3 linked regions of the Elephas maximus indicus genome follow. The main gene of each other region encodes a partner of the protein of the gene in region 2 in a complex. Links are inferred from orthologs where the notes say so. Each region holds a gene or a part of one and is shown on either strand. Other genes may lie near its edges.

Region 1 (7,969 bases), on a different chromosome or scaffold from region 2:
AGATCATACCCTTCCTCAGTGTCAGACCCTCAGCCTCAGACCTTCTGGTTTTATGTTTCTTATAGTCAAAGGCATCCTCAACTGATGCAAATTTCACAGTGAACTCAGAAGCGCTTGTGCCAAGGTTGGACTGTCATCCCAATAGCACCACCAATCTCAACAGCCTCCCTGGGCTCAGTTTTCCCATATACCTGGGGTGAGAGGTTCCACAGGTAGAACTAGAGAAAGGAAGAATGAAACCCTTTGCAACAGGGGTAAGGGTAAATCCTTTGCAAGAGGGTAAAAAGATAACTGTGCTGGTTAAGATCATGTGATTTGGTGTCAGGCAGACTTGGGTCCAAAACCCAGCTCTCCTGCTTACTGTCCATGAGGCCTTGAATGAGTTGCATAGACCCTTTTTTTTTAATTGTATTGTGCTTTAAGTGAAAGTTTACAGTGCAAATTAGTTTCTCATTCAAACATTTATACACAAATTGTTTTGTGACATTGGTTGCAATGTGTCAGCATTCTCCCCCTTTCCCTTTATACCCGGGTTCCCCATGCCCATTTGTCCAGTTTTCAAGCCCCTTCCTGCTTTCTTGCCTTCACTTTTGGGCAGGCATTCCCCATTTGGTCTCACACACTAAATTGAACTAAGAAACACTATCTAGTGCTGTTATAACAGAAATACCACAAGTGGGTGGCTTTAACAAAGACAAATTTATTCTCTCACAGTCTAAAAAAACACTATCTAGTGCTGTTATAACAGAAATACCACAAGTGGGTGTCTTTAACAAAGACAAATTTATTCTCTCACAGTCTAGGAGGCTAAAAATTCGAGTTCAGGGTGCCAGCTCCAGGGAATGGCCTTCTCTTTCTGTGGGGGAAGGTCCTTGTCATCCATCTTCTCTGGTCAAGGAGCTTCTCAGTGCAGGAACCCTGGGTCCAAAATACGCACTTTGCTCCTGGCACTACTTTCTTGGTGGTATCAGGTCCCCATGTCTCTCTCCTCGCTTCTCTCTTTTATACCTCAAAAGAGATTGGCTTAAGATACAACGTAATCTTGTAGATTGAGTACTGCCTCATTAACATCGTAGAGGTGGGATTTACAACACACAGGAAAATCACATCAGATGACAAAACAGTGGACAATCACACAATACTGGGAATCATGGCCTAGTCAAGCTGACACAATTTTGGGGGGACACAATTCAATCCGTAACACTTGCGTCTTTGGTTTTCTTCATTCTCCTTTGCTCCAAATGGGATGGGATCAATGGATGTATCTTAGATGGTCGCTCACAAGTTTTTAAGACCCCAGATGCTACTCACCAAAGTAGGATGTAGAGCATTTTCTTTATGAACTATGTTATGTCAATTGATCCAGATATCCCCTGAGACCGTGGCCCCCGGCCCTCAGCCCCAGTAACTCAGTCTCTCAATGTGTTTGGATGTGTCTAGGGAGCTTCTAGGACTTTGCCTTAGTCAAGCTGTATTGACTTTCCCTATATTGTGTATTGTCTTTCCCTTTATCAAAGTTGACTCTTGTCTACTATCTAGTTAGCAATTTCCCCTCCCTACCCTTTCTCTCCCTCGTAACCATCAAAGTTTGTTTTTTTCTGCGTGTAAACCTTTCTTTGAGTTTTATAATAGTGGTCTCATACACTATTTGTCCTTTTGTGATTTACTTATTTCACTCAACATAATGCCCTCCAGATTCATCCACGTTATGAAATGTTTTGCAGATTCATCACTGTTCTTTATCGTTGCATAGTATTCTATTGTATATGCACCATAGTTTGTTTATCCATTCAACTGTTGAAGGACACTTAGGTTGTTTCCATTTTTTTGCTATTGTGAATAATGTTGCAATGAACATGGGGGTGTGCATATGTCTAATTGTGTGATGGCTCTTATTTCTTTAGGATATATTCCTAGTAATGGGATTGCTGGATCATACGGTATTTCTATTTCTAACTTTTTAAGGAGGCACCATATTGTTTTCCATAGTGGTTATATCATTTTACATTCCCACTAGCAGTGCATAAGAGTTCCACATAGACTCTTTAATGACTAGTTTTCTCACCTGTAAAATGAGAATAATAATAGTATGTATCCCATAGAAGCGGGTGAGGGTGTGTGAAAAGCTTAATGATGCACTCCAAAGCTGGAATTAGCTGTTCTAGTCACAAAGCCTTGGGACCAGCAGAAGGGTGTGGGGGGAGGGAAGGAGGAAGACTTCCTTTTAGCAGAGAACTTTGGAGTTCCTCCCATCACTTCCTTCCCCAATTTCTCCAGCCCACAGCCAGCATGGCCATCTGCCCAGGGCTGCCCTGGGTGGACCAGAGCAATTGGGAAAGGAAGACCTCCTGTGTGGTAGACTTGAGCTGGGCTTGAGAGAGGGGAGAACTTGTCCAGGTAAAGAAGTTCAAGGAAGGCATGCCAGAAGGGAGGCACAAAAAATGCAGCAACATTTTGGAGGTAGGAGTGGGAAGGGGGTTTTGGTGAGAGGGAGGAAGCCTGTTTGGAGTAGAAATTTGTCATAAAAGGTTAAGGGAGCAACACCTGGAGAGTCATGGAAGGGAGCCTGGTAGTCAAGTTTTCTGCCAATAAGAGGGTACAAAAGGGCTCTAGTCTGCTTCCAGAACTAGAGACATCACCCCATTTGACAGATGGAAACACTGAGCCCAGGGATGCTGAGTCAGTGGCTTCACAGAGTTAGTGTCACCCAGTGCAGTAACTCATGGTGTAATACCCACCCCCACCGCCATGGATTTCTTCCTGTGCCAGACCATACAAAATCCCTAGTAACGTTTTTTGTACTAATGCTCCTAGTAAATCATAATTCTTGTATATCACTCCTTTTCCTTTAATTACTACTTCATTTTCAAAAAAAGTTACGATACAGGTTTACAGATGCTAATTACAACAATGTTGTAGCTAAAACACCAGGAAATTTGGCCAAATCAGCAACTAGAAAAATACCAGCAGCAATGAAAAAACCAGCACGTGCTTGTAGCATGTGCAGATGAAACCATGTGACTCGAAGGATCATTGTAATTGGGTAATAATGACCGCTCTGACCAAAAGACATTAGAAGGTTCAAAAAGTGAATAATTAGCATAGAGCTTTAGCCTTGTAGGTATATTGATACATGTAAGCTGGGCTTACAAAAAATGTTTTTGCTGTTATAGCTAACTACAGGGATATTGTTATAAAAAATAACAAATTTCTGTTGAGACGCAGCACAAAAATTTTATAAACAGTTATTTTGGTGTCACCTCCTCTGACAGTGTCACTGGGTGTGGTCCATGCCACCTGGGCCCCCCTAATGTTGCCACTGGGCTGAGTCAGTGATGTTAGAGGTGGTGAAACCACTGGATTGAGAAATACAGCCATAGTATATAGCCTTGGGGGTTTAAGGTGATATTTTGCCCCATTAGCTGTCTTCAGCTGAAAGCAACAGAAAACCTGACTTGAGGAGCCTTCACCGCTAAAGACTTTCTTTCATTAGCTCAAACCAGAAGGAGTCTGGAGGTGGGGCGGCGGGGGGCTTCTAGGAGCAGTGCAGCAGCGCCAGCCCCCCTGCTCTGCAATTCTCCCCCACGTCTTCTCTCTCTCTCTTTGAATTAAAATTACTTATGTTCAGAAAAACACTTGAGGAATCATGTGTTCTCTCCCCGGTGGCTGTTTCAGAAGCCTGGGTGGGCCCATCTCCCTAAACCCCAGGCACGCATAACTGGCACTTGGGAGCTTGGCGAGCCTGCTTCTGCTTCAGCTCTCATCTATCTTATCATTCCCGCCAATTGTAAGGGAGATACCAGCAAGGTAGTGATTTGTGGATGGTCCCTGACTCATCCCTTTTTGCCAGGCTGCCCTGCTGGCATCTTCTGCTGAGTGGGCACCTGGCTCCTCAGGGCTCTAGCCCAGGGCTCTTTCCAAGGTGGTACCAGACAGTGCCTCCAACACCTGCCCAACCGAACCAGAAATTCCACAAGTGTTCTCAATGCCATCCCCTTTCCAAAGGCTGGGGGTGGCAGATGGGGAAACTGAGACTCAGAGAGTTGGAGGGTTTATTGAAGTCCCTCAGCCACTGAAGTGTGTAGTGCCCAAGCCAAACAAAACCCGGAGCCTCAACCTCAGTTTTCAAACTCCCGCCTCCGTCTCTCTCTCAGTTCAACCATGTTCACGAAGCCTTAAGGCTCCACCTCCAGAGTGGGCCTCCCTGGCCCACAGTGTCTAATCTGGAGACTTGGGGGCAGTGCCTGTGAGGTCGCAGGCTGTTCTTCCTTGGCTAGATGCCCACTCATCCCCACCTCTATGTTCCTACAGCCCCCCAGAGTACAGCTGTGTCTGCCCTGAGAATGTGAGCTCCTTGAGGGCAGGACCTGGTCTGGGGCACAGAGCAAAGTTTGATGAAGGATAGATGTCCAGGCCTAGATGACACCCTCCTGAATAGATTCCTGCTGAGGAGTAAAGAGTCTAGCATTTTTGTGCTGGCCTGGCAGGGAGTGGATCTGGCTGGACTGGTGGGAGACAGAACCTGAAGTTCCTGGGCTCTTCTTGCCCACGCCTTTAGTGGGCCCCAAGCTCTAAAAGGAGTCCTGGTGGAGCAATGGTTAAGCACTCAGCTGCTAACCAAAAGATTCGCAGTTTGAATTCACCCAGAGGCTCCTCGGGAGAAAGACCTGGCAATCTGCCCCTGTAAAGATTAGAAAACCCTCTGGGGCAGCTCTACTCTGTCACTTGGGTTTACTATGAGTTAAAAATTGATTCAATGGCACCTAACAACAACAACAAGCTCCCTAAATGTATGGCTTCTGAGAATGTCCCTGCCCCTTCTCAGGTTGAGACACCCCAGCAGGGGGCCGCCACTAAAGGGCAAGCAGAGGCAAGCAGGGAGAGTGGCAGGTGGCAGGCAGGGCTGCATAGAAGAGCACAGCGGCTCCACTTCCTGTGAATGAAGGCCCTAGTGCCTGCCCCAGGGGAGGTTGCACAAACCTTCCTGTGCAGGCCTCAGGCTGCCTGCCTCCCTGGCCTGAGTCCCAGCCTGCCTCTCTCAAGAGCCGCTGCCTCCTGCCTGGGGCTGGCATCTCCTCTCCCTGCCCTGGAACTGGGCTGTGTTCTCTATCACCCGCTGGGCTGGAGAGGGGCTGGGCCGGACACCGGGGCCCGCCCTCTCATCACTGGGCATTGCTCCTTCCTCATTTTGCTGCGGATTCTAGCCCCAAACAAAACAGGTTGAGCCCTTTCCCTCCCTTCAGCAGTTCTGGCTTGCAGCTGCCTTCTGAGCTGCTGCAGACGGTGACAGCCGGGGAGAGGGGCTTGGGCCAGCCCTGCCGACACTGGGCACTGGACAGTGCTCCTTGCTCTTGGCCCTCAGACGGCCCTGCCTGGGGCAGGAGAGCTTGATTTGCCACAGTAGAGCCCAAGGATGATGCCCCAGCTGCACTTCAGAGATGCCTTTTGGGTGAGTGAAGGCTGGGGGCGCGGGGGAGGGCATTGAGAGAGTGGAATAGGCTCTGGGGAAGCTGAAATTTTCCATGGAAGTTGGAGGGGGATATAGCTCCCAGATGCAGGCTGTCTCATAAAAGTAGTGATTGATATACAACTTTGTCATGGAGGTGGTCTAGGCTACTTTCCCTTCTGAGCTGGAAGGCGAAGGGGGTACTGACTTCCCTGCAACTTCACCACCATGGGCAAGGGATGTCCTCTGCACTTCCAGGACTGGTTTTTCCTCTGAGAGACCCCTCCCCCACAGCAGGACCTTTTTAGGAGAGTCTAGCATGCGTTTTTTTTTTTTTTAGCATGCAGGTGGGGGCTTGAGGAGGCCATGTGGGGTGGAGGAGAGGGTGTCAGGTTCGGGCACCAGAAAAACTTGGTTCATACCTTGGCTCTGCAATTGTAGGTGTCTGAGCCCCACCTTCCCCATCTATACAGTGAAGATTGAAAAAAAAAAATTTTTTTTTTTTTTTTTAGTGAAGATAGATAATAATAATAAATATATCAAATGAACGGGAGGATTAAACAAGGTGAACTAATGTAATAATGCCCCCAGAATGTTGCTGGCACACCAAATGGTAATTCTCCTTCCCTCACCCAACACCTTTTCGTTTGGAGACCTTGGGGGTCTTTCAAGGTAGCAGGATGGGCTGGGCAATTCCTTGCTCGCAGTATTAAATCCAGCACAGGCCTGAAGAGTCCTCCTTCCCTCCCTGGGAAATAGCTGGCTGGCTCATGGAGGTAAAATGGCTTGGCCCAGGTCACAGGGCTAGTAAGCCCAGTTTGGATCACAGATCCCCTCAGCTTTTTTCCAGCTGTCCTTTAACCATCCCCTCTGCTCCTTAAGCCTGGCTGTCCCCAGGGTGCTCCTTCCAACCCTGCAGAGGGCTCTCTGGTCTTGTTGTGTTCAGCAGGCTCAGCCCCAGCCAACAGCCTGGCCCTCCCCAGGTCCTTTCTTGGGGCCAGGAGCCAGAGAGATGAGAGCTAATAATGAGCCAGGCCTGCCTTCCTTCTCTTTTGGACCACACTCTGCTCAGGGCCGGTGGCCATTGTGTAAGTGGCCTGATCCCACCTTCGTTAACTGCACAGTGGGCAAAAGCTTAGGCTGAGGAGGGCACTCTGCCCCTCTCGGGGCCTCTGTTGCCCCTTCTTCACAAAGAGGGGCTGGGACCAGCCCAGAGGAGCTGGTTGGGCTCATTTTGAACACCAGGGTGTTCTCTGCTGGACTGGCAGCTGGAGCCCCAAGTTGGGGGCTGGGGGTGGGGGCAGAGAGTCACCACGTCATTGCCCTGACTTGGAGTCTAAAGTTAGGGGAAGGGGTAGAGCCTGGAAATGCAGGCCGCCAGCCCAGGCCAGGCTAGGAGACCCTCACTGTTCTGTCCCTGCCCAGAGACCCTGGGCTCATCTTCCCTGGGATAGAACTGAGGCAAGGAGCAGCCCCCATGACAGGATCTGGGTGGGAGGAAGGAGGGGGAGGGGACTTAAAGAAACAGGGTGTGGCAGCAGCAGAAGCAAAAGCAGCAGCAGTGGCGAGAACCCAGCCCATCAGCGGTGGGTTCCTCCTGAGCAGTGGCATCCCATCCATGCTGAGTGCTTACCCCATGTCCGAGTGGCTGTGTACCTCGTGGCCTCCAGGTACCTCTCTCCTCCATGGCTGCTCCCTGGGCTGGGTGAGGCTGAAGCTTTCCCAGGGAAGGCCAGACGGAGAAGGGGAGAGAAGAGGCCAGCAAGAGCCTCTCAGATTCAGCCTGGGCAGACGCCCCAAAGTCACTGTCAGTATCACTTGCCCCAAGAGCTCTGAATTCTAACAGCCCTGGTGATGTTCAGCCCAGCCCAGCCATGACGACAACTAACATTCACTGAGCACCAACGATGTGTCAGGCGCTGTTCTCAGGCCTGTGTATGTATTAATTCATCTAACCTGCACGGCCAGGCAGTGGTGCTTTAGCAGTAGGATTCTCACCTTCCATTGGGAGACCGGGGTTCAAATCCTGGCCAATGAACCTCAAGTACAATGAACCGTCTGTCAGTGGAGCCTTGTGTGCTGCTATGATGCTGAACAGGTTTCAGAGGAGCTTCCAAACTAAGTCCAAACTAAGATGAACTAGGAAGAAAGGCCTGGCAAGCTACTTCCAAAAATAAGCCAATGAAAGCCCTATTGATCACAACTATCTGGTCTGAAACCAGGGGATAGATTACCCAATAAGCAAGGTACACACAGGCTTACTTGTGTTTACTTACTAATCTCCAGTGCACAATTTCACATAGGCTTCACCACAGCAAAGATCTGGTGAAAAAGAGGTGAAATTGTGCACTACAGATTGGCGAGTAAGCACAAGCAAGCCCGTGCATACCTTGTTTGTTGGGTAATCTGTCCCTTGGTAATTATGGGGCTGTTGAAGGACTGGACAGTGTTTCGTTCCATAGTGCATTGGGTTGCCATGAGTCAAGGGCTGACTCTATGGGAGCTAAAAACAATCCTCACAGC
Region 2 (8,034 bases):
TTAGAAGACATGCTCCACAAAGCAGGAACATTGTATCGTATTCCTGTATTTGAATGAATGCATGAATACCTTACAGGGGCATTCTGTGGCAGCTTCATCTAGAGAGATTAAATTTAGTCTTGATACAAGAAGACCTAAGCATGCTATTGGCTTCAGCTGTCACACAGGACTGCCACATCTAGTTATGAATGTTGTGCTCTGAATAGAGATACCCGGCCAAGAGGTGTGGGGAGAGTGGGGACTGAAACCTAAGCCACGGACCTGAAGGCAGGGGGTAGAAAAGGTCACAGGGCCACCACCTGGAAGCAGAGGAGCCATTTGGTAATTTGCACAAAGGCACCATCCTTCAGACTAGCAGTAGCCCAGAGTCACAGAGTCAGTTCACAAGCTCCAGAATCATCAAATTCTGGGAGAATATACTAAGGGATTAAGGTGGGATGTGGGATGTGACCAGGTGGAAAACCCTCCAATTTAATGGCAGTATTTACCTTGCTCAAGCAAGCAACCTGGCCCCATTCAACACTCCCTCACTTCCCCAAAGCTACACCCTCTGGTATCTCAGATTAACCTTTAGGTGGGGCTGAGAGCAACACTCTTTTTCCACTGGAGGACATGAGTCAGTGAACAGTGAGGTTCCACTTAATCACCACCCCCAAACAAGGTCCTTAAAATCAGGACCTAGAAAAGCAAGGAAATGATTAATATAAAAGTCAGGATAGTGATTACCCCTTGGGCAGGGCAGGGTGGGGGTAGGGACCTGATGGGAAGGGGATATACAGAGGTCTTCTAGGGTCTGGCAATGCTCTGTTTATTGTCTTGGGTGGTAGTTGCTTTATAATTAGTCAATATACTGTACTTCTTTTACGTACTTCTCTAAATGTGTTAGTACATTTCACAATTTTAAACAAAAAAAAGACAAACTAGGGAAAAAATGATCAGATTTGTATTATTAAAAGATCACTTGGGTGTTGAATGGAAAATTGATTGAAGTGGGGCAAGACCAGAGGCAGAGAAACCAATTACGAGGCAGCTGTCATAATTTGGGTGAGAGATTATAATGACCCGAGATAAGAAAGGAGCCCTGGTGGTGCAGTGGTTAAAGCACTCAGATGCTAGCCAAAAGGTTGGCAGTTCAAACCCACCAGCCATTCCACAGGCAAAAGATGTGGCAGTCTTCTTCCATAAAGATTTACAGCCTTGGAAACGCTATGGGGCAGTTCTACTCTGTCCTATAGGGTCGCTTCGAGTCAGAATCAACTCAACAGCATTGGATTCTGTTTAGTTTTTGGAGATAAGAAAAGGTAAAATATCAGGGATATAGTTTACATTATTTAAAAAAAACACAACCAGAATAAAACAGAAGTTGCCCCTCACTTTTTACCTCTCTGCTTTGGGTGAATTTGGCTTAGGAGTTATAGGCCAGAGGCAGGCACGTTTCTAAAGAGACACATAGGCTAGGATGTCCTCCTTACCTCCCTCCCTTCAGACTGACTTCAGACAGGCTTCAGACTGACCGGACCATGGCACTGAGAGCACTTTTTTCATGATACCACAATATTATCTGAGTTGAACTGGTCTCTGTCGTAATATTAACCACTCAATCATAATAGCTAATCACTCAAGTCTTTACAGAGTGTTTTTACATTACTGTGGTGGACCAGAGAGCTAGCTCCATGAGGACAAAGAGTTTTGTTTGTTTTGTTGACTGCTGTATCCTCAGTGCCTAGCACTGTGCTTGGTACATAGTAGGTGCTCTATAAACACCACTGAATAAATGGCCATATTTAATTATTATTGCTGTTAAATCTTCACAACAATCCTGTGAGGGTAGGAAAGACTAAACTAGTATCCTCATTTTATAAATTTGAAACAAAGGCTCGGGAAGATTAAGGAACACGTCAAATAGTCTAGAATTTAGTTGGCAAAAGAATCATGATTTAATTCTAGGTTTTGTGCTTCGGTTCCCTTGTTTTTTCCACTTCTTCTTCACAGCTGAAGATCGAAGGTCTGAAGTTATTACAGCTCTGAAACACCAGCTGGAAGTATTCCAAAATACATGATAGGTACTCGCAGATACCCTATTTGATCTGATGTACTTGGTTATAGGATCAATAAGGCCTATCCAGCTGATCACTGCAGCAATAACCACAGTTCCCTCAAAGGAGATGCAGTGTTGCTCTGGGTAATCAAATCCAGTTGACCCTAGGCTGCCTCGTACTCAATATTTCTCTCCATTCCCTTCACTTGCTCCTACTCTCCATCCTAGCCTTTCACATCTCCAAGCAAAAGAAGGTTAAGGAAACCCTGTTATTGCAAAAACGTATGTTCTAATATTTTTTTCTTCACCAAAAAGAAAAGTGATGAGGCAGCAGGTAATTTTGGTGCTTTTAAAAAAAAATTATGTCATCCAAATGGAATCCCAAGGGGAGGATAAAAATGTTCATTGAGCCATGAAAAGCTAGTCTTGGTCTCTTTCCTCTTAATATAAAATAAAATTAGTAATTTGAATCATTAACCACAACTTAGATACCTGGGGAACTCTGTATGTTCAATTATATTAGTATTTATTCCACTGGAACTGTGTATGTCTTCTGTAGGATTCCTAGTCAAGTGTCAAGAAATAGCAAACAAAATATCAAAGTCAGTATTTTGGAGAGAACACCTAACATACATACAAACTGCTGAGGGAAGTCAAACGTTTAGGTTGCCTTCCTTCCCTCCTGCCTGTCTGAGGTCTAATATTCATTTTAATCCAAGAGCAATTTGGTCTAGGAGAGTTGGACCATCAGAGTCAGTTAAATAGCCTATGTAACTACCATGAGAGTGTTACACACAGGACTCACCAGAAATTCATTGGCAAACTCCTCTTTCTTAATTTTCTTATCTTGGTTCTCATGCAGGAACTTCTGCAGAATTTCTCTTTGGTCCATGCTGCAGAGCAAGAGAGACAATCTATGAATAGGTTGAAGGAGGGCATGTCAAATGTGTGTCATGGCTAAGACACCACCGAGAAGCCACTGCCGCCTCCTGAGCAGAGTATGCTGAAGGCTGTGGTTTACTGACTTCATCACAAGCCCTAGAGGAAATTAGTGCGTAACCAGCCTCTGTGGTCACACAACAAAACCATCATCTCACGGCAGGGCCCTAGCGCCTTCGTTTTCAACAAAGGAGCCTGGTTACAATTCAAGTTTTTAACAAACAAGAGACTAACCAGAAAATAATGTGTGGTCTGCTTAGCTCTGAGACTGTTCCAGTCTACATTTAAGCAAAATTCACCTCTCTTCTTGCTTCACAGAGAAAAGGCAGAGTTAGAGGTCTCATGGTTTCTGCCTCTCTCCATCTCACCAGTGAGCACAAAGGCCCTGGTGTCACCTTCTATATCCTCCATTTCCAAATGAACTCTGCTTCAGTTAGGCCCAGAAAGGGAGACGGACACTTTTAGAGTCACTCAACTTTTGCGGGGAGTCTTTCTCCAAAGGTTTCTTGCCAATATGATCAGGGGCAAACTTCTGTTCATCAGAGAAGGCATTTTTTTCAGAGTATTTATTCTTAAGTTCCCCCAATAGACCTCAAACTCTCTTTGGAATGAAGCAAAGTCAGCTGCTTCTGACAGTCTATACCTCTCGCAGGACTGGGGAAGTGCTGACCTCCATTAAGGGAAGTGTGGATTTCAGGACCTCCCCCACCCCCAGGAGCCTTATGAGCTTCACTTGGATGTAAAGACTGAAAGTATTGGCCAATAAGGATTCAGAGCACAGTGACCCCCAGCAGGAGCACTGACCCAGCAATGGCATACTATCCCCCCGTTAGTAAAAAAAAAAGTAAGGCTGATTTAACTGAGGGAACAGAAAAAAAGTAAAAACAATCACCTTGCTGGCAGCAATATAACTTTCACGGTGGAAAGCCTGTTTCTAGAGAAGACATTTCTACTCTGCAGCCAGTGTCTTGGAAAAGGCCTTTGTTTCAGGAGGTCATGCCGTGCATGTGGCAATTCAGCCCTGTCTGACAGGCAAGTTGTTCCAGAAAAGGCTTCTACATCTCAGTTTGCCTAAGTTCTTTTTTCAGTGGGTACAGATCTGTCCAAGAGTGTCTAAATTAGTGCGAGAGCACCCAGAAATCAGCACATCATCTCTGTTTCGGGTAGAAGTTCAATAAAGAATATGTTAACAACATTGTTGTCGTTGTGTGCGGTCAAGTCGACTTTGGACTCATAGCGACCCTATAGGACAGAGTAGAACAGCCCCACAGGGTTTCCAAGGAGCAGCTGGTGGATTTGAACTGTCCATCGTTTGATGAGCAGCCTGAGCTCTTAACCTCTGCACTACCAGGGCTCCCCAAGAGTGTCTAAATCGGTGTGAGAACACCCAGAAACGAGCACATCATTTCTGTGTGGGTGTAGAAGTTCACTAAAGAATATGTTAACAACATCCTGAAGAAAACTGGGAAATGTATCATTAGGCCTTCCTTATGTATTTTCTTTTTTTTTATGTAAATATTAGCAATCCTTTCTGTTTTGCAACATTGTTCAAATTTCCTTTAGGAAGTCCTGATTCTGGACGCTATTAAGCTGCTTTCATTTTATTGAGCCCTACAATAGGAAAAAGAAAGGTCATTGATATAGCGTGGTTATAGGCAACTTGAAGCCAATATTCCAAATAAAGAATTTCAATACTGAGCCATGTAAATTAAAGTGGACCATAATGCTTCAGCAATATTTGTTGGAATAGAATCACATTTCTCAAATTAACCCCACTAGCCTTAAAGGAGAGTATCTCTCTGCTCTAAACAATGCAGTGTTTGATCTGGTTATTTTTAAACATATAAAATAGAGGGAAAGGTTTACATTTTAAAAAATACAAAATTTAAAGCTCACAATAACTATAATCATGTAAAAGTATATACTGTACATAGTTAAACAGAAACTAAAAGTTGCAAAAAATCAATTGTATGTGTGTGCTGGGATTAAGGGTGATTTTTAAAAACTTTCTTATACCACTTTTTAAATTAAAACATACACACATGCAAAAAAAAAAAACTATTAATTCATTCTTATTGAGTATCCACTAAATTCTAAACACTGTGTTAGGGGCTGGGCATACAATAGTGAACAAGCCAGAATATGGTTAAAAAACATACACACTAAACCAGTTAATAAAGCATTTCAGAACTAAAGAAATAGACTTAATTATTGATAAAAATAAAAATATTCCAAACTAACTTTCTTGTTTGCCAAGTAGCAAAGTATAACCCTAGAAGGAAATGATTCTGTTTTGAACAAATAAAAGATACAGTTTCATAATCTCTGTGTCCCCTTAGAATGTCCTCACTTCCATCAAAACCAGAACTTAAATAATTACAGATGCTTCATAAGATGAAATTTAAATCAATTTTCCTCAAGCCCCTATTTCAGAACAATCTCAATGTTATCGTCTCTTCTTAGGGAGGGAAGAGGTAGAGATAGATATGAGATAAGAAAGAAAAAATTGCTTAGATGTCATCCATCGCTCTTTTACCCCAAAGCTCAGGATCTGAAAATAGAGTCTTTGCCGAACTGTATCTCTTTTTTAAAAGCAAGCAGCAAGACTTAGGAGTCTGTTCCATTGTAAAACCAAAAGGCATAGAAACATCGTGAAATAACTAAACCTCAAAAACTCACTTAGCTGCAAGGCCATTTCCTGAGCAGACCACTCAAGTGAGCAAAAAACAACCTGAAGGAGAAAACAAAAACACTTCAGTTTTATTTTGAACAAATCTAAGCCTACTGCTTAATCTTTCACACTTCCTTCTACAGATACTGGAGGGCAATAGGAACAGATTGTGTTGACTCATTTGTATCTTGTGGGACAATCAAGAGTTGGGGAGGGGAACAAGTCATGCACCAAAGGTTGGCAAATACATAATTTAAGAATTTACAATGAAACATTTAAACCAGTCTGGCGTAAACCCTAAGTGAACACAACAATTCCATGCAGTAAAAGACACCGTATCAGAACCATCAAAGGTGAGCTCTAGTAGGAAGTAAAATTCTGAATAAGCGCCTGAAGCGGAGTGAGTGAAGAATTAGGGACCACTCACAGCTGCCTCACACGTCTCTGGTGTTTGTTCAGAAGGAAGATGATAACGGGTGTTGATCATACTGTCACCTGCTCCAACAAGAAGAGAATGTGCCAGTTGAAGGGAGAAACATCAATATCATGGAGATCAGGAATTAGAGGACCATAAACTTTAATCAGAGACTATCAGGGGATATTATTAGGGCAAGATAAACTGCTCAGTAGGAAAGACATTATTTCTCAGAACATCTTTCTCTCTGTGAAGAGGCGTGGGTTACCCTGGAGAAGCCATTTACTCAGTCTTAGCTTTACTTTCACTCCTCTTGCCTTTCTCTGCATCCCAGGGTCATTGATTTGATGTGGGCTATTTTTGTGTGTGTGTGTGTGTGTGTACTACTATCTGTGAAACACTCAGTCTTTTTTTTTTTTTTTTTTTTTTAACACTCTGTCCTTTGTAAACATCCTGTTGGTCACTGCCCTGCTGCTGCTATAACAGAAATACCACAAGTGGGTACCTTTAACACACAGAAATTAATTTTCCCACAGGCGAGGAGGCTCTAGGGGAAGCCTCTTTGTCTCTGTCGGCTTGAGGGGAAGGTCTTTGTTTCTTTTCAGCTTCCGTTTCTTGACTCCTTGGTGACCTTCATGTGGCATGGCATCTATGTTCTCCCATCTCTGCTCACTTGCTTAACCTGCTCTTTCATATCTCAAAAGAGATTGACTTACAACACACTCTACACTAATACTGTCTCATTAATACAACAAAGAAACTCCATTCCCATATGGCATTATAACCACAGGTATAGGAGTTAGGATTTAAAACACATATTTTGGGGGGATACAATTCAATTTATAACAGCCACCAAAGTCTATTGGTTCTTTCTCCTCCATGTCTTTTAGTTTCAACCTACCTTTTCCATTTCTGTGTTAACCATTCCCATTTTCGCATCTGGATTCCTGCAGCCATAAGCTCTTAGTTGGTCTCGTACCTCTCTCTCTCCCATTTCAGTGTCTCCTTGTAACCAGGGCTGGATGAAACTTCTTAAAACTCCACTTTAATGTTAAAAAACCAAAATGCCTGCTCATAGTCTATGGGAACAAGCCCAGATACCTCAACTTGTTACCAAGCCACTTCTAATCAAATGTCCTGATCCAACCTCTCCAACCACATCACCCACAAATCTTGTTGATTACACTACCACTTCTTTTACTACTTCTCACTGTTTCCTTTAATTTTCATCAAGATAAATAACCTTCTTTCATAAAGGCCGGTTACCCCTTTCTTCAGAAATCCTCTTATAACAATTTCACCATGACCTTCTCTTATTCTGAATCCCTTCAATATAAATCTTTATATTCAGATCTGGAAGCTTTCTAATTTTTTTTTTACATGTTCCTTGCATCTCATAAGTTTATGTAATCATGAGACCCATTATACATTCCAAAGTAGACAAAATTGCCTCCTGTAAGCTTATCAAAGGCAATGATAGTATCTTCTATGTTTTAGCATAACCCACAGTGTTTAACCTGGTCTTGAGCATCCCTAAGATACTTAGAAAAAGTCTGTTGTGATCAAATATATTACATAATATGGCTAGGCTTTGGTGAGAGATTCACTGACTCGGTAACTCACTACATTAATTATTTCAGATCTCTTGCCTGGCACAGTCTATGCTTCTAGTCTCTGGCTAGGTACTTCCACTGTGCTAGAAGCAGATGGATCTTACCTGCAGGGAGACCCAGGAACCTGGCAAAGAGTACTTCCCTGAGTGCTTCTGCCCAAGCAGCAAGGCTATTATTGTAAAAGGAGTAAACCAAGGTATGGTGCTGTGACTAAGGTGCAGGGTCCAGCCCCAGAGGGCTGTAATGGCCAGAGAGAAATGACATTCTTTATCTCCAGAATTGGCCAGTGTTTCTCCTTTGATAAACTAACACAGAATAATAAAATATCTCTAATGAAGCTTGTTTGATTTGCTCATAT
Region 3 (7,827 bases), on a different chromosome or scaffold from region 2:
CTTTCTAGTACCTGGTTAATTAGCTCACTCTCCCTCTGAAGCAAATATCACCATCCCTCATACATATAAAAGAATTCCAGCTCAGAGGCCAGTGACTTGCCCAAGGTCTCTCCTCCCTGGACTAAATGGAATGCTGGGCCTGGACACCATGTCTACTTGCCCACTCTCTCCAATACCCCTGGCTGCTTTTGGGACCTGCAGTAACAACTACCTCAACAGCGACAGATGGAAACAACACACAAGCTCAGCAACAGGGTTTGGCTGAAGTTGCTGAGGCAGAACTATCTGGAATATTCTGTAGGTTTTTAGAGGGAAAGTCAGACGGGGGAACAACATGAGAATGTGTCTATGGGCACAGCATTAAATGAAAACTGGTGTTAGGGCACACACCAGAGGAAGGAATAGAGTCAGGAAGAGACTGGCAGGAAACTTCAAAATGCTAGCAGTCACCCCGTCAGGTGAAGAAAGAGGGAATGATTTTTGTTTTCTAAACTTTCTGTAGTGCTATTTTGTCACTTTCTCACTTCAGGATATTAGTCCATGAGTAGTTTTCTTGTAGTGAACCTGCTTCCCTGGGACCTGCCTGCCCTCCCGCTCTGGCCTTGGTGTTTTGGACCTCGACAAATGACGCCTGCCTCTTCTGCAGTGGGACAGCCTCTGGGACGCAGAACAGCCCCCAGACAAGAAAGGAGATGACCAGTGCTCGCTCCCTACCTCCTCTTTCCCAGGCCAAATACTCTGTTCTTCGGGAACTGGGTGTCAAGCCTTCAAAATCCCTCAAAAGATGGAACCCAGAACTGGATCCAGGCCGTCCTTCCAATCAGGACACGCTGACAGGTCAGGCCACCTGGCGACTTTTGGGGCAACCACGTCACTGTGGGATCTCAGGCCTCAGCCCCTGCCGGAGCTAGTTTGGAGAAAGCTAGAACTCTGCCCCTTCCCCAACACTTGCTGTGGGACACTGTGGTGGCTCAGCCTCTCTGGGCCCAGTGCCCTTTGCAGTGGTGCTGGAGGACATCTTTCTTGTCCTCAACCCAATGCAGAGACAACAGCAGCCACTTCAGAGCGGGCAGAAGGCACCAAGTTCACCTAGAAAAAACACTTCCCTGCACACATGCTAGCCTAAAGCTAGATTCCTTTCCACAAAGGCCTTGGGTCCCTGGGCCTCATCCTCACAGCCCAGAGTAGGTAAAAAAGCGCCCAACCACATCCAGCCCCAGCCCCAGCCCCTCAGGCTGGAAAAGGAAGTCGGGTAAGCGGAGCCTCACAGGCCCAGGACAGCTGGGGCCTCTCTACTGAGCACATCAGGGCAACAGGAAAAAACTCTAAACCAAGGGCAGGGGTCTTGAGCAGGACAAAACTGTCAGCAGTCCTAAGGAGGCCCAGACACAGCTCAGCATCTTCCAGGGGACAACCCACCTCCCTCTCGGAGCAAGAGGATCAGTCCACACTCCTAACCTCACTCTCGTTGCCTCTGCCTTGTGCCTGCTGCAGATACACCACGGCAGACACTGGAACCCCCAGGGTGTGGGGGGAGCTTGGAACAGACCCTGCAGGTGTCCCTACCCTGACAATGCTCCCATGCCAAGGGTGTAGGGCACTGCCAGTGGTCACAGGGCTCCCACATTCTCCATCCTGGTCCCATTCATATTCTGAACTTGAACAAGCTCCTGTGCCAGCTGGGCTGAGGAGGAAGGGGGAGAGGGAGAGCTGGGTCTGGACTAACCACTAGGCTGCTGCAGTTCAGGGCTAGGGGCTAGAATCCAGGCATTCTCGCCTTGCCACACAGGTGCCCACCTGCATCCCCTGCATCCCACCAGTGGGACCCAGCCTCAGACACCAAGGGGAAATCCCATGGGCAGTGCTGATGGTGCCTGAGCCCAGACCCAGGCAGAACTGGGGCCGGAAGCCCTCTCCCTTCTCTTGGGCCTCTGCCAGGGAGCACATGCTCACCCCACATGGTCCCTCCTGGGCCAGGGTGGGGACCTGCATCCCTGATGCATGAAGGCATCTGCCTGACTCCCCTCCAACCCCAGCAGCCCAGCTCCACAGAACAGTGGATGAGACGACAGCTGGCCTAACTCTTCAAGAGTCCTGGGGGAGCAACCTCCCCCTTTGAGCCTCAGTTCCCTGGTCTACAAAATGGGCGGGGAACTGAACCCCCAGTTAAGCTCCAAAGATCTGGTGGCTGGACACGCCCCTTCCTGACACCTGGCCTGGGCCCTGCAGAGAATGGGCTGACCAGGCTGTCAGGAGGTAGGGGCATGGTGTCACCTTCATCCAGGAGTGAGGCCTGCCCAGTTTCCCCACCCAAGGGTCAGAGGTCCCTTGGCTTAGACACAGTCATCTGGGAGGCTGAGAGAAACAGGTTCAGTCCCAGGACCTGGGCCTCTGGCAGGGCTCAGGGGAGCTAGCAGGGCCTCAGTGAGGGAAAGGTCAGACCCAGACAGGCCAAGACACTTGCAGGGAGGTCTGGGCAGGGAAGGGGCACTTCCAGAAATGCAGCCCATTCTCCAGGCCCTGGACCACGTCGGCCCTCTCCCTCCAGGCTCCAGCCACCCCTCACTCTTGAGCTTCACACAAGGGGACCTCAGGGTGCCCTGGGGCAAGTCTGCGGGGCTTGCTGAGCAGTGCCTCCTTCGAGTATTCCCCTCCTAATCCGGTTCTGACAGTGACTCCCGGGAGAGTTCGAACTCGGGAAGGAGGGAGTAAGGCAGTGGGGGATGGGAGTGGTCACGACGGCGGTGTAAAGAGAAGCAGGACGTGCGACCTCCCTCCTCCTCCTTCCTCTGGGGGACACAGACGCTGGCCTTCTCCTGGGCTGCAGGGCACTCACCTCTCTCGGGGCACTGAAGTCCGAGCCACCTCGCCGCGGGCGGCATCAGCGGCCTGCGGGACGGTCCATGCGGCCAGAGGGGAGGGAAGGGGCGCAGGGACCCCCGGGGGGTGCGATGCAAAGAAGTATAGGTGCGGAAAGAGGGGGAGGAGGGACGGCCACACCGAGGCAGGGGGATGGCCGCGCGGCCCGGGGCGGAGAGGGAAGAAAGGCGGGGGAAGGGGGGCGGGAGGGAGTCGGGGGGAGGAAACAATGTAGCCGGCGCGGCCCCAGCAGAGTTCCGCTTCCGAACGCCGCCGCCACGGCTCGGTTTTGGAACGTCGCGCCCGCTGCCGGGGGCCGTCCCGGACACTCGATCGGGGGCCGCGGGGGCTGCCCGCGCGCGCTCCACGCCCCGGAGCCTCAGGCGGCCACAGGCTGGCTAGGCGGGAGGGACGGCTGACCAGGGGACGGCCCCGACGGTGGCGCGGCCGGGAGATCGGCCCGCTCGGGCTCCACCCCAGCAGGACCCCAGGGCAGGGCGCGGGGTGGGGCGGGAGCGGGAGGGCGGCGACGGTCTCGGTGGCGGCGCCCAAGCTCGGCTCGCCCAGGGCTCCGCTGGGAGGAAGCTCGCAGGCCTGGCGAGAGGAAGCGCGGCCCGGATCCTCCGCCCGCGGCAGCGCGCCTGCGCGAGGGGGCCTGCCCGGTGCGCGGCGGGGCGTGGGCTGGCGAGGCGGCGCCCCCTATCGGGCGCCGGGGGCACTGCGGGGGGTGTGTCTGCGCCCACGCCCTGCCCCCACCTGCCTGTCTGCGTTGGAGGCGCCTAAAGGCCCCTCCCAGAGGGCCGACCACCCGGCCTTGGAACAAGTTCTGAACCTTCTCCGGGCCTAGCTCCACCAGCGTAGAAGCGGTGGAGGCTGGGCCTGGATCCTTCTGGAGTCAGCCCGCGCAGAGTGGGCCTCATTCGCAGCAGCAAGCATTCGTTCACACGTTCACGAACGCTTCCTGGCGCCAACAACCTGCCAGGCCATTTTCAGGGGTCTAGTAAGACCCCTTCACTGCTGTCAAGGATGGAGAGACTGACAGGCCAAAAGACAATAGCAAAGAACTAATTGATAAAAGTGGGGAGGTGATGTACAAGGTCCACAGGAAGCAGACAAGAAGGGAGGGCTAATGGGGGACTTCACTGAGCCTAGGACGCCAGGCAGAGAGAACGGTGTGGACAAAGGCAGGGAGAGGTGGGAGAGTGGTGGCTTCTGGGAAATATAAATAGCTCCGTATGGCTGCAGCTTGCAGTGTGGGTTAAAGGCGGTAGTGGGAGACTAGGTCTTGGGGCAGCAGGGGCAAGAGAGATTACAGAGAGTCTTGTGGGACTTTCTGAGACTTTATTTTCAGCCTGGAGCAATGAGGAAGTTGTTAGTAGCTGTGTGACCTTAGGCAAGCTGCTTAAAGTCTCTGTGATTTCAGTTTCCCCGTTTCATCAAATGGGGAAAATAATAGCAGCAACTTCTTAGGGCTTTCTGGGGGAGGAAATGAGTTAATGCGTTTCAAGTGCTTAGTGTGCAGTTGCTGGAACATGGTGAGCCTTCAGTTAAGTGTTGGCTGTTATTATATATCACTGTTAATGAGAAGCAGGCAGGTGATCTGCTCAGAGCCACAGACCAGACAGCTTGTGCTGGGGTGAGAGGTGGTGGGGGGAGCGCAGCGATGGGGACACCAGAGATGCTAGTGTAGGTAGGAGGAGTCAGGGCACCCCTAGGGACTGGGCCATAAAGAAAGGGTCAGGCTTGGGTTGGCAGAGAAGAGGGGGCATTCCTGGGAGTAGGGGGAAGCGGTGAAGCTTGCTGGCAAATTCTTGGAATCTGAAATAAGTATGAAGGGGCAGAAAGAGTGTGAGGGACAGTAAAAGGTCCTTTGGGACAGAGAAATGGGGAGAACAGTATCTGCAGATTGCAAAGAGTCTTGAATGCCTGGAGTAGGAACGGTGTGTGCCCCTCAGATACACTACGGGTTGTCCCTCTGACCCACTGCATCCTGGGGCCAGCATCTCAGCAAGGGGCCGCCTCTATGGGGAGGAAAGCAGTAGAAACACCTTTGTGCTTTGAGGAGACATCCAGTTAGTCTGGCATAGTTGTGGTATAATGGAAAAAAGTATGAGTTTTGGGTTCAAATCTCAGGATTAAATCTTGGCTCAGCCACCTACTAGCCGTGTGACCTTGGACTAGTTACCTAAGGTCTCTGAGCTCAGTTTCCTCTTCTGTCAGACCAGGCTTAAAGTGTACCTCTCTCACATACCTCTCTTTGGAGAGATGGTGCAGATTCAGCAAGATAAAGGCCTGGGGATGGGAGGGTGGGGAGAGAGCTTAGCAGGTTGGTTTCCCTTTCTTTCCTTTGAGGTTGAGGTCTAGACGGAATGACAATGGGGGGCTGGTTGGGGTGGGTGGAGTTTCTCTCAGCCATGGACAGGAAAGCTCTTCCGCAGCTCTGCAAAAGTTTCTAGAAGGGAGAATTGAGATCTCCTTCCCCTCCTCTGGTTTAGCTACCAGGATGGGAAAGAAAGGACTGTTGGGATTTGTGGAAAATGCCCTGTTCCACACGGGCTTTGTCACTCACCCATCTCCATCCCCTGGCCCCAAACACACTTGACTCTTTTCCTTGCATGTGCTGTGGCCAAGAGTGTGGACTTTGGAGTCAAATAGACCTGCATTTGAATCCTGGCTCCAACTCTCCACAGCAGTGTGAACTAAAAATTTTAACCTCTCTGAACTCCAGGCATGGGGATAAAACCAGGAGCAAATCAGTCATGGCCTCGTCCCGCAGAGCTCCCTTTCTTTTAGTGGGAGAGTCAGACAATTAGCCTCCAACCTCGTTTCTCATCATTTATTCATTCAACAAAAATTTACTGAGCACCTACTAAGTGCTGGAACCCTGGTGGTACAGTGGTTAAGAGCTCAGCTGCTAACCAAAAGGTCGGCAGTTCGAATCCACCAACTGCTCCTTAGAAACCGTATTGGGCAGTTCTCCTGTGTCCTATAGGGTCACTCTGAGTCAGATTCAACTCTGGAGCAACAGGTTTACCAAGTGCTAGGCACTGTCCCAGATGCTGGAGATGGAGTGAACAAGACTTCCATGGTTCCTACCCTAGGGAATAAATAAATAAACAGGGTCATTTGGCCCTGTAGTATGAAGGAAGTGAGCATGTGAGGGACTATGGAGAGGTGAGGCTTTGAGCTCTGCTTTCAGACCAGGAAAGGATTGAGCCAGCCTTTTTTTTTGGGGGTGAGTGAAGGAGGGCGCTTCAGGCATAGGCAACCCAAACCCATTGTCATCGAGTTGATTCCAACTCATAGTGACCCTATGGGGTAGAGTAGAACTGTCCCATAAGGTTTCCTAGGCTGTGATCCTTATGGAAGCAAACTGCCACATCTTTCTCCCTTGGAGTGGCTAGTGGGTTAGATCTGCTGACCTTTCGGTTGGCAGCTGAGCAGACACTTAACCACTGTGCCACCGGGGCTCCTGGCAAAGGTTAAAGACCTGAGCTAGGAAAGGGCCCTGGGGCTTGAAGGACAGCCAGAGGGTGGCCTCAGATAGCAGGGGAGGATGGAAGAGAGGAAGTAAGGAAGCCGACAGGGGCCAGATCCAGAGCCTGCACTCCAGAGATTTTTTTAGGTGAGTTTGGGTTTGATTACGTGAGCAGTGCAGGAAGCTGTTGAAGGACTTTAAGCAGGGGGGTGACATAATCGGAAGCATTTTTTTTTAATTTGCATTATTTCTTAGAGATTAGATCAAATTAAAACAAAATTATTTTATTATTTTTCTTGTTGAAAATAAAAAAAATTTTTTTTTTTTTGAAAATACACACGGTAAAAATATACCAATTCTACTTACCAGGAAGAAAAAATGAAGTCTTGATATATGCTGCAATATGGATGGAGCTGGAAGACATTATGCTGAGTGAAATAAGTCAATCACAAATGACAAATATTCTATGGCCTCACTTACACAAAAAGACAAGAAAACGCAAATGTATAGAGAACAAAGTTTATTAGTGGTTACCATGGGCAGAAGGGAGGTGAAATGGGGGTCAATAGTGATGAAAAAATCACGTTGATTAAGGGTAGGGGTGCAGAGCTGACTATTATAATTGTTGTCATTAAGTTGTACACCTACAAAAAGCTGAATTGGCAAAATTTGTGTGATAGATTTATTTACAACGATGACCCAAAAATAAATAAATAAATACATAAATAAGAGTAGCTGCTGAGGCTGCTTAAGTACAACCAAAAACCTCATGGGATTTGGTTCCTTGGTTTGAAGGTTTAGTGTCACGGTTTCATGGGATATCCCAGTTAATTGGCCTAATGTGTTTAGTGCTTCTGTTCTACCTCCTAGTTTGTTGCATGGTGCCATAGGGTCTTAAAAGCTTGCAGATGGCCATCCAAGGCACAACAATTGGTTTCTATTCACCTGGAACAGCAGAGGAAAAAGGGAGTCAGGAATAGAAGGAGGATATGGAATGTGTGGCTATTTGCCTCCATGAACAACTGCCTCCTTTGCCATGAGACCAGAAGAACTAGATGGTGCCCAGCTACCATTAGTGCACATTTTGATCAAAGATTCCACAGAAGAATCCTGATCAAAAGGGGGAAAATACAGAACAGAATTTCAAAGTCTCATGGACTCCAGACTTCCTGGAGCCATGAAGGTTGGATGAACCCCTGAAACTATTGCCCTGAGATAATCTTCAAACTTTATACCGAAAATATCCCCTGAAGTCTTCTTAAAGCCAAAAAATAACCCAAACCAAACCTGCTGTTGTCAAGTCGATTCCGACTCATAACGACCCTATAGGACAGAATAGAACTGCCCCATAGAGTACCCAAGGCTGAAATCTTTACGGATTTCTCCTATAGAGTAGCTGGTGAGTTTGAACTGCTGACCTTTCGTTTAGCAGGTGAGCGCTTTAACCACTATGCCTCCAGGGCTCCTAAAAACAGTAGTTTAGCTTAACT

The links.
Region 1: the proteins of PTPN22 (region 2) and PSTPIP1 are in contact, whole or in part, in a crystal structure (PDB 7AAM), measured with the Homo sapiens proteins. The link is inferred for Elephas maximus indicus from reciprocal best matches to the Homo sapiens genes PTPN22 and PSTPIP1. Residues at the interface, in NP_057051.4 of Homo sapiens: Ser793, Lys794, Pro795, Gly797, Pro798, Arg799, Asn800, Pro801, Pro802, Trp805, Asn806; in NP_003969.2 of Homo sapiens: Thr225, Arg228, Asn229, Trp232, Asn236, Ser239, Met240, Cys242, Val243, Asp246.
Region 3: the proteins of PTPN22 (region 2) and CSK are in contact, whole or in part, in an NMR structure (PDB 1JEG), measured with the Mus musculus proteins. The link is inferred for Elephas maximus indicus from reciprocal best matches to the Homo sapiens genes PTPN22 and CSK. Residues at the interface, in NP_033005.1 of Mus musculus: Pro614, Pro615, Leu616, Pro617, Glu618, Arg619, Thr620, Glu622, Ser623, Phe624, Ile625, Val626, Val627; in NP_001291690.1 of Mus musculus: Phe20, Thr23, Gln26, Ala40, Val41, Thr42, Lys43, Asp44, Asn46, Trp47, Ile59, Pro61, Asn63, Tyr64.

The regions. Positions count from the first base shown.
Region 1 is NC_064831.1:66,556,626-66,564,594, reverse strand, and holds the start of PSTPIP1 (proline-serine-threonine phosphatase-interacting protein 1), read left to right. Parts: upstream 1-4,956; 5' UTR 4,957-5,413; coding exon 5,414-5,449; intron 5,450-7,969. UniProt on the Homo sapiens protein: Involved in regulation of the actin cytoskeleton. May regulate WAS actin-bundling activity. Bridges the interaction between ABL1 and PTPN18 leading to ABL1 dephosphorylation.
Region 2 is NC_064821.1:166,860,067-166,868,100, reverse strand, and holds the start of PTPN22 (tyrosine-protein phosphatase non-receptor type 22), read right to left. Parts: upstream 3,020-8,034; 5' UTR 2,931-3,019; coding exon 2,844-2,930; intron 1-2,843. UniProt on the Homo sapiens protein: Acts as a negative regulator of T-cell receptor (TCR) signaling by direct dephosphorylation of the Src family kinases LCK and FYN, ITAMs of the TCRz/CD3 complex, as well as ZAP70, VAV, VCP and other key signaling molecules.
Region 3 is NC_064831.1:64,865,912-64,873,738, reverse strand, and holds the start of CSK (tyrosine-protein kinase CSK), read right to left. Parts: upstream 3,014-7,827; 5' UTR 2,837-3,013; intron 586-2,836; exon of another isoform or gene 1-585. UniProt on the Homo sapiens protein: Non-receptor tyrosine-protein kinase that plays an important role in the regulation of cell growth, differentiation, migration and immune response.